Notamacropus eugenii: one gene and its partner. The protein of the gene in region 1 purifies or fractionates together with the protein of each later gene. This does not show direct contact. Links are inferred from orthologs where the notes say so. Each region holds a gene or a part of one and is shown in the gene's direction. Other genes may lie near its edges. The genes, in order: EYA4 and DCTPP1.

Evidence for each region.
Region 2: the proteins of EYA4 (region 1) and DCTPP1 purify together in Homo sapiens (affinity purification with mass spectrometry; 3 studies listed by BioGRID and IntAct, with this or other methods). This does not show direct contact. The link is inferred for Notamacropus eugenii from reciprocal best matches to the Homo sapiens genes EYA4 and DCTPP1.

What each region holds. Positions count from the first base shown.
Region 1 is NC_092873.1:218,976,910-218,984,826, forward strand, and holds the start of EYA4 (protein phosphatase EYA4), read left to right. Parts: upstream 1-4,763; 5' UTR 4,764-5,389; intron 5,390-5,692; exon of another isoform or gene 5,693-5,818; intron 5,819-7,917. UniProt on the Homo sapiens protein: Tyrosine phosphatase that specifically dephosphorylates 'Tyr-142' of histone H2AX (H2AXY142ph). 'Tyr-142' phosphorylation of histone H2AX plays a central role in DNA repair and acts as a mark that distinguishes between apoptotic and repair responses to genotoxic stress.
Region 2 is NC_092874.1:378,218,262-378,225,668, forward strand, and holds the start of DCTPP1 (dCTP pyrophosphatase 1), read left to right. Parts: upstream 1-4,160; 5' UTR 4,161-4,304; coding exon 4,305-4,414; intron 4,415-5,416; coding exon 5,417-5,527; intron 5,528-7,407. UniProt on the Homo sapiens protein: Hydrolyzes deoxynucleoside triphosphates (dNTPs) to the corresponding nucleoside monophosphates. Has a strong preference for dCTP and its analogs including 5-iodo-dCTP and 5-methyl-dCTP for which it may even have a higher efficiency.

The sequences.
Region 1 (7,917 bases):
GTAGGTGTTCTTTAGTTTGTCAAAAACTGTGCTACTATGTTTTCTCAACCTTATTTACCAAAACTCTGGGACTCATTGTCTTTCTGTTTTTTTAATCAGTACTAAATAGTTGTGACTTGTTTTTAAAAAATAATTTGAGATCTGATACTGAAAGACCTTCTCTATTCATACTTCTTTCAGAAAAAAAAAAAACACGTCTTTTGAGATTCTTGACCTATTTGTTCTTCCAGATGAATTTTCTAAGTATTATATCCAGTTCTGCAAAATAACCCTTTAGTAGTTTTATTGCTGTGACCTTAAATCTGTAAATTCATTTAGATAATGTGATTTTTATTATGTTATCATAGACTAATGATGATCAGTTGATTTCTCTTCAATAATTTGTTTATTTCTGTAATGAGTACAATATAGCTTAAAAAATAAAAAAAAAACTGAAGTGGCAACCTCTTAAATTAAAAAAAAAAATCTATCTTAATCTGTATAATCTCACTAGAGTTCTACCTTAATTTCTTCTGCTTTCGAATTTTCATGCGGGGCTTGAAGTTAAAACTATATCATGCTTACTTTAATATTTTAATATATCTATAGTTTCATTCCTGGAAGTATTCCCTACAAGAATATAAATCACAACCTATCCATACCTATCTATCCTATGTGACTGTCATCCATATCCCCCTATAAATTCACTGTGTGGGTATACTCAATACTATATTCTAAAGCAAGAAAATTATGGAATTGACTTTCTTGAAGTTTTTATTTCACTAGTAGTAATAATACTTATGAGATATTGTTATTATTATTATGCATCTTTAAGGAAACTACTATAACAATTAGTTGAAATATTTTAACATTGGAATAAAATTGTTCTCTATTTGCAAATTTTTCATTATTACTTGCATATCTTGGCCAAATTGTTATATTTCTCCAAATGTATTAGTTTGGATAAATATAGTTAATATCACATGCTACAATTTGAAAACAGGATGGATATTCCTGCTACTGAAAACCCGTTTTTTTAATAAAAAAAAGCACAAAAATAATCAATGGTATCATATATTTTTATTTGTATTATACTTAATTGTAGACTTTTATTTTCCCCAGATTCTGAGTCCTGCTCCCCCAGCCCCAATTACAAGGCAATAACACCCTGCAAAATCTGAAAACAAAATGAGATCCAAAGGTTAAGGACAACTTGTAGCTGAAATTGGTTTATATTAAGAATGCACTTATGGATGTTTTCTGTAATTTATAAATAAACCTTTCAAGTACAATGAGGAAGTCATTTATTAAATTAGTGTCACTTGTATGATTTTTTGATTCTTTAAAGCACTTTAATTTCAATTACCCATTTTCCTAAAGATGATTTATTTTAATGATTAGGCTTCAGTCTTCAATATTGGATGAGAGCATACAGCCATATTATTATTTCATGATAAAAGCAGAGACCAGATTTGAAGACATTTGGATGTTTTAGTTACTTTTAGAAATAGAATTCATTAACTTAAATTAGCAACCATCTATAATGATTTAATAAGGAAACTGAAACTGGTGTTAGGGGGATTGGTTCAGGAAAAATGAAAATATGAAACATCAGGAAGATTTACAACTAATAATGCTGACCAAGTAACCTGGACTTAAATTTTTCACAACATGCAGAAATAAAGGACATATAGTAGAAGTGAAGATGGGAGATGGAGGGAAGAAGTAAAGGAAGATATTAATTAGGAATATACAAAAACATTTCACCTCATGAGTGAGAAGTAGAATTAATGGAACCTAAAAGGGAAGAATTAAAACTCTATTACCTCTCCTTCCCAACAAATGCACACATGCATTTAGTGCAGTTTTGTAATTATACAAGAAAGCCACATACTGTTTCTGAAAGCAGGGTCTTTTCTAGACAAGTCAATTTCAGAGAATGCATTATGGGTTATATGAAATTCATATATGGACAGTTATTTTGAAGTTAGAATTCATGATAAATTTGGTTTTTGAACTGTGAATCATAATCTATGATCACAGCTCAAAAATGAAAGGTTTTTTTTTTTCTATTATGAAAATGGTGTAAAAATGATTACCATATCAAGCAATAGCCACAGGCAGTAAATAAACCCCTTAAAAAGAAAAAAAAACTTTTTGAAATCTAGAAAATCAAAATTCTAAAAGGAATACTTTGCGGGGGCGGGGAGGATAACATTGACTTTCTCCTCACTAGAAGTCCAGAAAGGTGACTATACAGAGAGGTATTATAGAGGAAAGATCAATGAATTTGAACTTAGAACCTCAATTGAAACCCCCAATTTACTACTAGTACTTCTGTGATATTGGGCAAGTCACTCTCTGACCCTTAGTTTCCTTTTCTATAAAGTGAGAGAGTTGGATTAGATGGCCTCTAAGGTCACTTCCACTTCTAAACTGATGACTTAGGATCTTATGATTTTTTTCCAGCTATCAATGGATAGTAGCACTGTCCAAATTATCTTGTTTAGATGCAAAGCAATAATTGAACTAATACATTTAAAATGCTCTTAGAAGCTAAGGAAAATGAGGAGGAAATTTCCTGGCCAATAATACAATGGTGTGAAAAGTATAAACAAAACTAATCTTCATGCACTGTACTATTTATCTATCATATCATTAATCTGTAAGTTTACTCTTAAAAGGAATAGGAGTGGTGGCAGAAGGGAAGGATATTGAAGAGTATGTACTTTTTTAAAAAATTTCTAAGCCATAGACATTGAACAAATTATTTTAACATCCATGACTTGTATATTCAAGTGTGTCTCAAGTTCTATTTGTTTCTTTTATAGGAAAGACACTGGTAGTAAGAGACCCAACACAGGGGGAAATTAATTTATCTGTCTCAATGTTAAGTTTAAAAAAAAGTTAATTGTTGCTTCAACAGATGTTCTTTCATATAGGTATATTTAGGTAGGAAAACAATCCTGCCAATCATAAAGTTTCTCTTTTTGGTCATCAAAACAAAGAGACTTCCAGACATCAGAGGGGAAAGCTAGATCTGGGGCATGGCCCTGAACATATACTCATCTAAATCAAATTCTAGCTAATGTCCATATCAGGAAAAAAATGATGAGCAGTTTCAGTAATTTTTCTATTCATACTTCAATTCCTAAGTCTAAATATTTGTTTAATAAGGCTCTCTGCCTTAATCAGAAAGGTTAGGACAACTTCTTGACTTCTGTTTTCCTCATGTGAATGTCAGGAAGATGAGAGATAGACAGACAGACAGAGATAGATGGATGGATGGATGCACGGATGAATGGAGAGATGGATAGATGCAAATGCATTTTAATTTATGAATGGTAGCTTTCATGGCAGAAGCTTATTAAAATAAATAATCAGGTTTGAAAAGAGATGGGGACACGAGCATAGTTACTAATTGTCCTATGAGGCTTTGCACAGGCTTTGGTAAATTCTATCTATATGTAGATACACATTCAGAAGTATCAAGTAAAAACTGTTGCTTCAGCAAGATGCTTGTAAAATCATTGAGCTGAGTGAGCTGGCTCTGGAATCCAATTTTGGCTGGGCTGACCTTTGACATCTGCCCAGGATTCCCATACCTGCCCACAGAACTGAAGTGGCTCAATCCCTTCTGGTATAGCACATTCCAAAACTGGTTGCTCCTTCATTTATTCGTGTCACATAGCTATCTGTCAGAGGCTCATGAATAGCATGGGGGTGGCATTGGGGTGGAAGGGAGGAGAGGAGCAGTTAGGACATGAGGAAAAATCCTCCTATCCAGTTTCCTTTTCCTCCAAAAAGAAAAAAAGACTCCCTTCTCCCCCCCCCCCCGCCCCAACCCCATACACTCGCGGGCAAAATAGAAATAGTTTTGGCAGAAGGGAATGTAGCAGCTTCCAGTGTGTGTGTGTGTGTGTGTATGTGTGTGTGTGTGTGTGTGTGTGTGTGTGTGTGTGTGTGCCTGTGTTGGTGGAAAGGGGAAAGAAGGGGAGAGAGGGGGAGAGGGAGGGAGAGACAGAGACAGAGACAGAGACAGAGAGACAGAGAGAGAGTGAGAGAGACAGACAGACAGACAGACAGAGAGAGAGAGACAGAGAGAGAGAGAGACAGAGAGACAGAGAGAGAGAGAGACAGAGAGAGAGAGACAGAGAGAGAGAGAGACAGAGAGACAGAGAGAGAGAGAGACAGAGAGAGAGAGACAGAGAGAGAGAGAGAGAGAGAGAGAGAGAGAGAGAGAGAGAGAGAGAGAGAGAGAGAGAGAGAGAGAGAGAGAGAGAGAGAGAGAGAGAGTGTTAGGGGAGGATCCTGTAGAATTCCTCAAGTAGCAGGTGGGGAAGGGAAATGTGGTCCAAAGAGTTCTTCCAATACCCTTGGGAAAGGGAGGGGGGAGTGTGCTGCCTCAGGTAGCAGTAAAGTCTTGGCCAGGGCTAAGGAGAAAGTTAGGAGGTATGTCAGAGCCTTGCCACAGCTTACTCCCACGGTCCCCGACATCATAGTCCCATCGGCTCCCTACTCCAGCATGCCACCAATGACAGCGTTCAGCAGCCTGAACTGAAATAAGCAGAATTCAGTCTTGTCCGCTCGGTTTCACCCCGTAGCCTCCTAGACTGCAGCCTCGGGCTCCAACATCTCCCCCTGCCTTTTTGCAGCTTTGTTGTGCGGCGGCAGCCTCCTCGCTCAGTGGCAGCAGCAGCGGCAGCAGCGGCGGCGGCAGTGGCGGTGGCGGCTGTAGTCAGAGACAGGGGCAGGGGCAGGGGCAGGGCAGGGCAGGGCAGGGGCAGCTGCTGGAGTAGCAGCGGCGGCGGCAGCAGTAGCGTCAGCGGCAGCGGCAGCGGCAGCTCCAACCACCCGGGCAGGCGCCGCCTGCCACCGCTCCCCCCTCCGCACAAGTGCGAAGCAGCTCCTGCTCCAGGGCACGCTCCGCTTACCGCTCCCAAGGGCTCCCTCTCCTTTTTAAACTCAGAAAACACCACCCCCGCCCAGTGCCTCCCCCCACTCCAAACGATTAATAGTCCTGGAAACTGGGGAAGGGCCCCCTCTCCTAAGGACAGAACGAGTGTTTGACAACTCTACCAGCGTGGGGGCTTTCTCTTTGCTTTTTTGTTTTGTTTTGGAAGTCACTCAAAAGTTTTGGCCCTCTTCCTTTCTTCTTCCCCCGCTGAGCCTAGACTTCTCTCACGGACCCCCACCCTTCTCTTCCACTTGTGTACTCTAGTTATTGGGGGGTGGTGCGGGTAGCCGAAGGGGATGTCCTGTTTTCACCAGAGGAACAGCAGAGGGGAAACTTCGACATCAAGAAGGGAGGAGAATAAATAAATAAATACATACCCATACACTCTATATACAAACGGATCAGAGGCTTAAAAAAAAAGTTAAAAATTGCGGCTGTCGGGGCACCAGCAGGGTGAGTATCCCATCTTCCTAACTCCCTTAAAAGTCTGGCGATATTTTGCTTTTTGAGTCATTGTTCTTCGCTTGTGATTAGACCTTAACTCTCCCTGAGAAAATGTACCCAGCTGAGGCCGAAAGCTGCCATTGGGGGGGGAGGGGGGGAGAGAGAAAAAGGGAAAGGGGAGGGAGGTGAGAGAGAGAGAGAGAGAGAGAGAGAGAGAGAGAGAGAGAGAGAGAGAGAGAGAGAGAGAGAGAGAGAGAGAGAGAGAGAGAGAGATCAGTAACTTGGGGGGGGGGGGCGGTGAATGGTGGAGGGGATGGTTCTTGCACTATGTCCGAGTGATCAGCCTGAATCCTGTTTTCCTGGTACTTTGTGGACTTTGAACTCTGGTGTGGGTACCGGGGCTGCTTCTTCCCTGCCAAATTTTCTGCTCCACTTCAGGTGATGTCCTTCTCTCGCTTGCTCAGAATTCTATGCGTCTCGCCACTTCACTGGAAGTCTTGTTACAGGGGGTCAGGGAAATCCTTTGCGAACCCTAAGCTAGGTCCCCGCGGCCGGTTCATTGTTCCTTCCTCCTTTACTTACCTGTCCTCGTCTCCACCGTCCAATAATAATAATAGTAATGACAAATCCTGATGGATGAGCCTTCGTCAGGTTTACTCTCTTTCTCCGATTGTTTTAAATTTATATTTCGAGGATACACTTAAATTGTGCAGGCGTAAAGATGACCCATAGTTATACCCAGATGTAGGAGCGTTGGGGTGTGTTTGTGTTTGTTTGTTGGGGTGCATGAACAAATGCAGCAGTTTCCTTTTAAACTGGAGGCACAAACAGTTTCCAATGAATTTTATGAGCACGTCTACCATGGTGTTCCGTATTTAATAATTTTTTATGTGCCGTGGAACGAACAGCTTGGTGAGTTTGCCAGGATCCGTGAAATTAGCCTAGAGTTGTCAGAATTACACTGGCTGTCTATGGATGCAGTAGAAAAATTACAGTTCTCCCCTCCCACCCCCCAACAAATACAGCGTGACTATAGAAGGAAGAGACAAGGTCTTCGGTACTAGTCAAGGGGGCTCTCTAAGACTATACTATTTTTCTTTTTCGGTGTTGTTTAGTTGTATTTGCAAGTTGACAGTTTGCATGGTTCTTTAATCTGCGCATTACAGCATCCAAAAAATCTTTACTTAGTAGCACTTAAATATTATCCTTTCTTTGTATACAAAACTCAGAACAGCTTGGAGTTATTAGGAGAGTTTACTGATGGAATCTCAAGGCAGAGCAGATGGGCAAAACAGTAAGGGAGAGTTTAATTTTTGCAGACTATTAGGGAGTAGATTCTCCGTGCGTTTTCCGTATCTCCTTGCCCTGAGGGAAGAAAGTTTGTGCTTCTCAATGATTGCGTGGGTTTGCTTCCATTCATACATTCTTTCTCTGCCTCCTTCCCCTCTAAAGTGCGGGAGAAGATACTCAAACCATTCAAGAATACTAGCTAGGGAAGGTGTAGGTTCCCTTCTTGCCTGGTGCAGTATAGAAGTGCAGACATGTGTTTTGGTTTCAAGACAGTTCCACGTGGAGGACCTCCGTGTGCGTGTGTGTTGTGTACTTGATCTGTAAGGAGGTAACTGGATTCTTCGTGTTCAAACCCAGTGGGCTGTTGGCCATTAATTTGCCTCTCTGGCTGTCATTACAGACACTTCCAAAATCTGATACCTAAGAGCACCAACAGGTTAGATTTCACATTAAGGGCTCATACTTAACAGTTTTCTTTTTCCCTTACCTCTGTCTGGCTCGCACCCTGAGATGAATGTAACTGATCGAAAGAAATTTATCTTCAAGAATATGGCACTCTTATTGACAGCAACTGATTGCATTCTCCACAGGTCTTTGTCAATTTCAGCGTCAAACTCCTGCGGGATTTAGGTGGGAGCTTTAATAACGTTTAGCACAACTGCGTAATGCCAATCGTAGGCTTCTGAAGTTTCATTTAAATTTAGGAGACTGAAAATATTAAAAGGTGCTGGTGCTGGTGCTGGTGCTGTTGTTTTTTAACCCATACGACTCAGGGGGTCGCTAACAAGGATTTTCTTATAATGTTTGATATTGAAAAACAAAAAAATACATTTTTGGTTTTTTGTAGGACGTTACTTCAAGCCTTAAGCGCCCAAACGCGATAATCAGAACCAGATAAAAGACAGGGAAAATATGAAATAAATCTTTAATATTTGCCATAGACGATTCTAAGGAACAAATAACTTGTTAAGTATTTATGTGTATATTTTAGGTAAAAATGAAATATTCAAAGTAAGCTATAGAAAATTAAGGTAAACGGAAATGTGCAGTTTTATACGGGCTGGAATGCCAGAAACAGTGATATGTGTAACTAGGAGACTATTTCTTCTTTATGGCAGCAGGAGAAAAATGCAAAAAAAAAAAAAAAAATGACTGTCCTATGTTTATAGTTGATTGTATACCTTAGAAAAGGTTTAAGTTAGTCATTCCCATTTCAGCTATTAAAAATTATTGTGCAAGACAGTTTT
Region 2 (7,407 bases), on another chromosome or scaffold:
CAGACCATCCAATTTTGCTATGTCCTTGCACAGCTTATTACTTTATATACTCCTTCAATAGTGGTTGGAGACTTTCTATTATTGGGCCATCAGATGGTTGGAGAGGGAGATCCCTACAATATTGGTCTGCCAAAATGCTAAAAAATGATTGCAGTTCCTGTTTCTGACACACACATGCAACTTCTCTACCTGGATTTCCTTCAGCTACCCAAACTTAGCATCCTCCATCCCATAAACTTCCTTACTTCTGTCCAAGATACCACTATCCACCCTGACACTTAGGTTTATAACCTCAGTGTCTTCCCTCTTCCTCATCCCCATATCTAATCAGTTACCAAGTCCCATCTATTATCTTCCATTGGCCTCTATGACATCTTTTCCATCTATTCCCTTTTCTTCATTCATCCTACTTTAGGCCAGTTACCTCCTGTCTAGACTATTGTAATAACCTCCTAACTGGTCTCCCTATTCTTCCTTCTCTCTCTAATTCTTCTCAAAGACCTTCAATGGTTCCCAATTGCTATAAGACAAATAACAATCCCTGACTATGGTAATTAAGGCCTTCTATAACCTGATTTACCTTAGATGCTTAATAAATATTTATTGGTTAGAGTAAACCTATCCTTCCAACTTTATTTCATATTATTCCCTTGCATAGACTCTTTGCTACAGCCAGACTAGACTATGACTTGTTCCCTGAACTTGACATTTCCTTTCCTAAATCTATGTTTCTCGTGACTGGAACTCACTTCTTCTTTATCTTAGTTTCTGTTTTGTTGTTTTTTTTTAATCTTCCTTTAAGGTTCAGCTTGGGTTTTATCTATTCCTCAAAGACTTCTCTATCCCTCAAATTACCTTCTATTTACTTACCCATGTAAATGCTATGGAATATTAACATGATTTAATAGAAAGAACCCCTGAATCAGGAAAATCTATGTTCAGATCTCATCTTTGGTACATATTGACTCTGTGAGAAGCAACATGGAATAGGCTGAACTTAGATGCAGAAAGATCTGGGTTCGGCTCCTACCTTAGATGCTTACTACCTCTGTGACCCTGGGGGAATCACTTAGTCTCTTGTGCCTCAGTTTCCTCATCTGTAAAATGAGAGGTCTGGACTCATAGGCTTTCCATTTCCCCAGTCCCTGTCTCTCCAGGGAGTTTCACTACCAAACTTTCTTGGAAGCAAGAAGTCCTGAGAAGCTAGAACAGATTTTATGGAAAGATAATGCAGTGAAAAGAACCACAGGGTGGGACTCAGGAGCCCAGGATACTGGGCCACTAACTCCTCTAGGAAGGTCTGAGGAACCTCCTCTATAAAGTAGTTGTTGGATCATATGGTTCCCAAAGGCCCCTCCCAGGGCTAATGTTGTAGGTTACTAGCACAGGGTATTGAGACTTACATGACTTAGTAGTTATCTTAGAGTGATTTTTGACTTTTGACTAAATGACTCCATCATCCCTCTCCCATGCCTGTAGCCCATCAGTTTCCAAGTCTTGTCAATTCTACCTCCAAACACATCCTTCCAATCTGTCCCTTTCTCTAAACTCACCCAGTCACTTTTTAGTTCAAGCCCTCATCCTCTCTTAGCTGGACCACTGACTAGCATCCTAATTAATTAGTCTTCCTGCCCCTAGGGTCTTCTTTCTCTAGGCCACCGCCATCTAACTGCCTAAATGATATTCCTAAAGCCCAGTTCTGACCCTGAAGCCTCAATTGCTTTTTATTGCCTCCTCAATTCCAGACTCATCTGGCGTTCAAAGCTTTATATGATCCAGAGCCAAGTCATCTTTCTGGAGTGAATTCATGTTACTTCTCTTAATTATAGCCATTCACTACAACAAATGGAATGAGGACTTTCTGAATTCAGGAAATGTTTTAAAAAGTAAGAGACCTGATTTGTTTCTCCTACCCATTATAATTTCTCTATTTGGCAGGAAATGCCTCTCTAAATGAGTGATTATGTATTAACCAAAGTATCTGCTCTTGGAAGGGGAAAAGGAAGCCCATACATAACATGTACTTGTCCAAAAGACATGTACTGGAGACAACTATTCATAGCCAGTGGGGAGTGGGAAGGATGGATTTCTAAATCTGTGTCCAGACTGGAACATCGGTTTTGAAGTTTTCCACTATGGGGTGGTCTGGCAGCTTGAGAAATGTTTTACCAGGCATTCCTTTCTGTGTAAGAAAATTCTTATCTCTTGTGTGTGTTAGAGACATCTCCTGCTTTTAAGAAGGTTCCTGGAGGGTGATTGGTGGGGAGCATGATGTTATCTGCTATTTCTGCTTCCAGACATCCTTTAGGATCTCTGAGCATAGCAGTTGGTTGAAGGACAATACAGGCCTGGAATATTTCCTGATTTACCCAAGGTACAAAATGATATGGAGAGGGGACAAAGAGAAGGTGATTGGATCACAGTTTGCAGGAAAGGAGTAGTGTAAAACAAGGCTGGAAGGAATTTCAGGCCAGGTCTTATAAGGCTTTAAAAGCTAAAGAGAAGTGTTTGCTTTTTATCCTCAAGCCAAAAGGAAGCCCCTGGCCTGACAAGGCAAGATCTGTACCTAAGCAAAATCACTGGTAGTAGTATGGAGTATAGACTCTAGTGGAGAGACTTGAAGCAGAGGTGAGAAGGGCCTCAAGTAAGGTTCATTGAGCAGAGAGAAGGGGTCATATTTGAGAGATGTAGAAGGAGAAATAGCAAGATATGACAACTGACTAGACATAGGGGTAAGGGAGAATGAGGTGTCAGAGATAACAAGGGAGACTTGAAGAACAGCAGTGCCTCCACCCTCAAAGGAATACATCCAAATGATCTCTGACCCTCTAAAAATGCTCTGTCATTATTAGAGAAATATTAAAATAAAAGCAATTTCGAGTTTCTACCTCATAAACAACAAGGGCCAAAACAGTAAATGATGTATATTGAGGGGAAAAGGCAAACTAAACCACTTCATGAACTTTTACAGCAGTTATGGAGAGCAGTTTGGAATTATACACAATCATTCATATATATATGCATGTATATATGTATACATATGTATATATATGTATGTATGTATGTATACACACACACATAAGGTTTCCAATCTCAATTCAAGTGCCAGTTTGTATAGGCTTTTCCCCATCCTCCCAGTGGTTAATGCCCTCCCCCCTCCACAATTAATTTGTATTTACAGTGCTGTGCATACATTATATATAAATGTACATCATATATTTGTATAAATGCATATTTATGTAACATACTTTAGGTATAAATATATTTATATATAACATATTATATGTACTATTTATGTAACATACTTTATGTATGAATATATTGATTTATACATATATATTATGTATAATTATATATATTATAATATATAATATAATAATAACATATAATATAATATAATATATATTATACATATACATGCATATATGTATATATTTATACATAAAATGTTTCCATACATAGATCATATATTTCTATTATACAGAAATATCTTACGTACATTTCTATATAAATAATGTAATACATTACATACATGTATAAGCATGTAGCACATTACATGTGTTTACATGTTCGGACGATCTTGACATATGTGTGTACGCAGACAACCAGCCTGCATTCACGTGCCTACTACAACCCCACTGGATTCTGGGAGCATGGCTGCAGCCCCTGGCCTCCCAGGGCTCGCCTTCTTCCAGCCCAATGGGGACCAGGGGAGGGGGGCAGTGGCACGGCTGTCTGCTTCCAGGTGCGTTCCTCGCACTCGCAGGGTACGCAGCAGAAGCTTAATAAATGCTGGTTGAACGGTGGAGCTCAGGAACCCTTCCAGGGTGCATGTTTCTTGTCGCCATCTGGTGGCCAATCGAGGACACGCCAGCCCTGGCCCAGTTTTCCAGCTACGGCCTTTTGCGCTTGCGCCCTAGTTCCTGTGTCCCCCGCCTTTCCTTGTTTATCCCTTGGCGGATCGGACCCTAAGGTTTAACGAACGGGCCCTTTAAGAGCTCTCGCTCTAGGGAGCCCACGCCCAGCCCACCTTACCTTAGGCCCCGCCTCAGGAGTCCGAGCGCGAGGCTCTCTGATTGGTCCATGTGTGGGCCCGGGAGAAAACATAAGGTACGTTATTGGCTCCTTCTCAGGACCTGTCCCGCCTCCTCCCCGCTCTCTGCGGCCTGACTTCTCGACTGCGCCTGCGTAAAGGGAGAACGCGCCGCGGGGGCCGGAGCCCGGGAAAACGGGAGAGGGGGAGGGGCCGGGCCGGGCCGGGCGGCTTCACGTGGCTTCGGAGTGAGTGGGGCCTCTGCAGCACCATGCCGGGGGGCAGCGGCCCCGAGGGCGCGGCGGCGGCGGGAGCGGCGGCGGCGGCGGCGGGGCACGATACCCCATTCAGCTTCAGCCCCGAGCCCACGCTGGAGGACATGTGAGATGCGGGCCCCGCTCCTCCTCTCCTTAGTCGGGGATGCTGCCCACCCCATGGGGCAAGATGGCGGGGAGGGGGGCCCTGAGGAGCCCGAGGCCTCCTGCCAGCCCGCAGTGCCCTGCCCGCTGGAGAAAGCCCAGATTCCGATTATTTCGGTGTTAGTATTAGCAGCTCCCAGGTGAGGAAACACCCTCCACCAGTACAGGTCAGCACCGCCTCCGCAGCGGCCAGCCCCAGGGGTTAAGTGACTTGCCCAGGGTCACCCAGCCGGGGGACTCGAACCTGTCTGTCCTGGCGCTTCGCGTGCACAAAACCAGATGACAAAACTCGGGCTGGCACAGGCGCCGATGTCTGCCCCGGGCCCCGGCTCGTTAAGCGCTGGCCTGGGAGGGGGGGAGCCGTGAGAGAGATGGGGCGCCCGCCTGACGCCCCCCGCGCCGGGCCCTGTGAGGCCCCGGTGCAGGGTACGTGGGAGCGACGGTGACGATGGCGAAGGGGGCTTCGTGAACTTCAGCTCCTTTTGCTAAGTGCCCGGAGCCTCAGTTTCCCCATCTGTAAAGTGGGCGTGGTGATCCCCCAAGAGGGAGCCCCTAGTGGACCGCTCGTGGCGGGGGTTCGGTCACTTCCGATTCTCCTGACCCCGTCTGGGGTTTTCCTGGCAAAGACACTGGCATGCTTTGCCACTTCCTTCCCCAGCTCGTTTGACAGATGAGGAAACTGAGGCAGACAGGGTGAAGTGACTTGCCCAGGGTCACACAGCTAGCACATGTCCGAGACTTGGATCTGAACTCAGGAAGATGAGTCTTTCTGACTCCAGGCCTGGTGGAGGACACCACCTACTTTCCTGGCCTCAGTTTACCCCTCTGTAAAATGAGGGGTTTGTAATAAATTCTCATTTAACATCCCTCTCAGTTCTGACAGTTAGTTCTTGCTGCAGGGCTGGCCCTTCTTCCGACCTAGTCTTTGCCTCTCCTACCCCTTCCCCTTCTTTCTCCCCTATAGCCGTCGCCTCCAGACAGAGTTTGCAGCCGAACGAGACTGGGACCAGTTTCATAAACCTCGGAACCTCCTCCTGGCCCTCGTTGGGGAAGTGGGAGAGCTGGCAGAGCTCTTGTGAGTAACGGGAATGGCATAGGGATTGGGACAGGTGGGGAAGAAGGGATGCACTGGGTCCTTCCTATCTTCCCTTTCCACCTTGGCATCACCTGCTCTGTTGGGATGCTGGTACTGGATTAATCTGTGAGTTTTTATCTTTGCACGGTGGTGCAGTGGGGTATGTAAAGACTGACAAGGCATAGGCCATGCCCTTAAAGGTTTACAATCTAGTAGGGAGAATGAATCAAATATATGTAATAAAATGCTGTCTACCATCAGAGAGAGAACGGATCAACTCTGAATACAGAATGGAGCATACTTTTTTACTTTCTTTATTTTTCTCCCCTTTTTTTGGACATATGTTTTCTTTTGCAACATGGCTAATGTGGAGGCATGTTTTACATAACTTCATATGTAGAATTACTATCAAATGGCTTGCCTTCTCAAAAGGGGGAGAATTGGGAGAGAGAATTTGGAACTCAAAATTTTTTTAAAAAGCATGTTAAATTTTTCTTACATTTAGTTGGGAAATATTTAATGAAAATATAAGGCAGAATTTGATAAGAGCATAGGAGAGGTACAAAGTCCTGTGAGCCAAGGAAGTTTGAGGGATTTTCTTGGCAAAGATTTTTGAGGAGGTAAAGAGCATTCCTGGCTTCCTAGGTGGCATTTGAGCTGAGCCTAGAAAGATGAATGGGTAGGATTTTGCTAGGTGCAAATGATGGGGGTAGGTAGGACCCCAAATGCTAATAGCATAAGTAAAGGCAGGAAATAATGAGGTGTGTGATAATAATAGCAACTGTCCAATATGACTGAAGAGAAAGTAAAGGAAATTAATAGAAAATAAAGCTTGAAAAGGAGTACAGGGCCATGTCATGGAGCGATAAAGAGTCTTGCTTGCCAGGCTAAGGATTTTGCTCAGAGCCACTAAAGGCGGTCATTAGACCTGTGCATTAGGAAATTACTTCAGTGATGGAAAGAAGGATGCATTTAGAAAGAGGAAGAGCCAGGAGAAAGGGAGACCAGTTACAATATTATAGTAGTCCAGGCAAGAGGTGTGACAAAGGCTTAAGGTGGGATGGCCTAGGGAGGGAGGGAATGGGTGGATGCTAAAGATATTTCAGAAACAGAATGGACAGAACTTAAGAGGCTCATTGTGGAAGGTAAGGGAGAGGAAGGTGTTAAAAGATGAATGAGGAAGTCTTCAAAGACTTGGGAATTTTGAACGGCCATAGTTCTAGAGCAGAGGTAGCAATTGTGGCAGTCTGAACCAGATTAAAATGTAATTGGGAAATATTTAACAAATTAAACCTATAACAGAACATAGATAATTAACATGTGTAATAGGTAATATAATACACTGTGTAATAGTACAATAATTAATTTCTAAGTCAGTGTATAACATACAGGGGTCCTTTGGTTTAGGTGACTTGTTTCTCTTTGAGTTTGACTCCATGCTTTTGGAGGACTCATAATGAAACTTGCCACCGACGTCCTGATAAAGAGATAATGAATTCCAAATGAAGAATGATACATTTTTTGGACAAGGTCAATGCAGGAACTTCTTTTTGCTTGACTGTGCATTTATAGCAGTTTTGTGTGTGTGTGTCTGTGTCTGTCTGTTGCTTTCTCAGTGGGGTGGGGGAATGTGAGAGATTGCATCTTCATTTGAAAATAAAGTAAAATTTAATTAAAAAGACTATGGTTTCAAGTCTGCGTCAGAGGGCTGTTTTGGGGAAAAGGAAAAACTCAGTTTGGGATGGGACTGCCCTGAACATCAGACTCACTAGATAGAGAGAGCAGGGCCTGGTGCTTAGGTAGTGGATTTATGGTTAGGAGCCATTCAAAGAGGCAGAGGGTGAGGCTGCAGTTGTGGGTGCTTGGACTTGGGTGCCTAG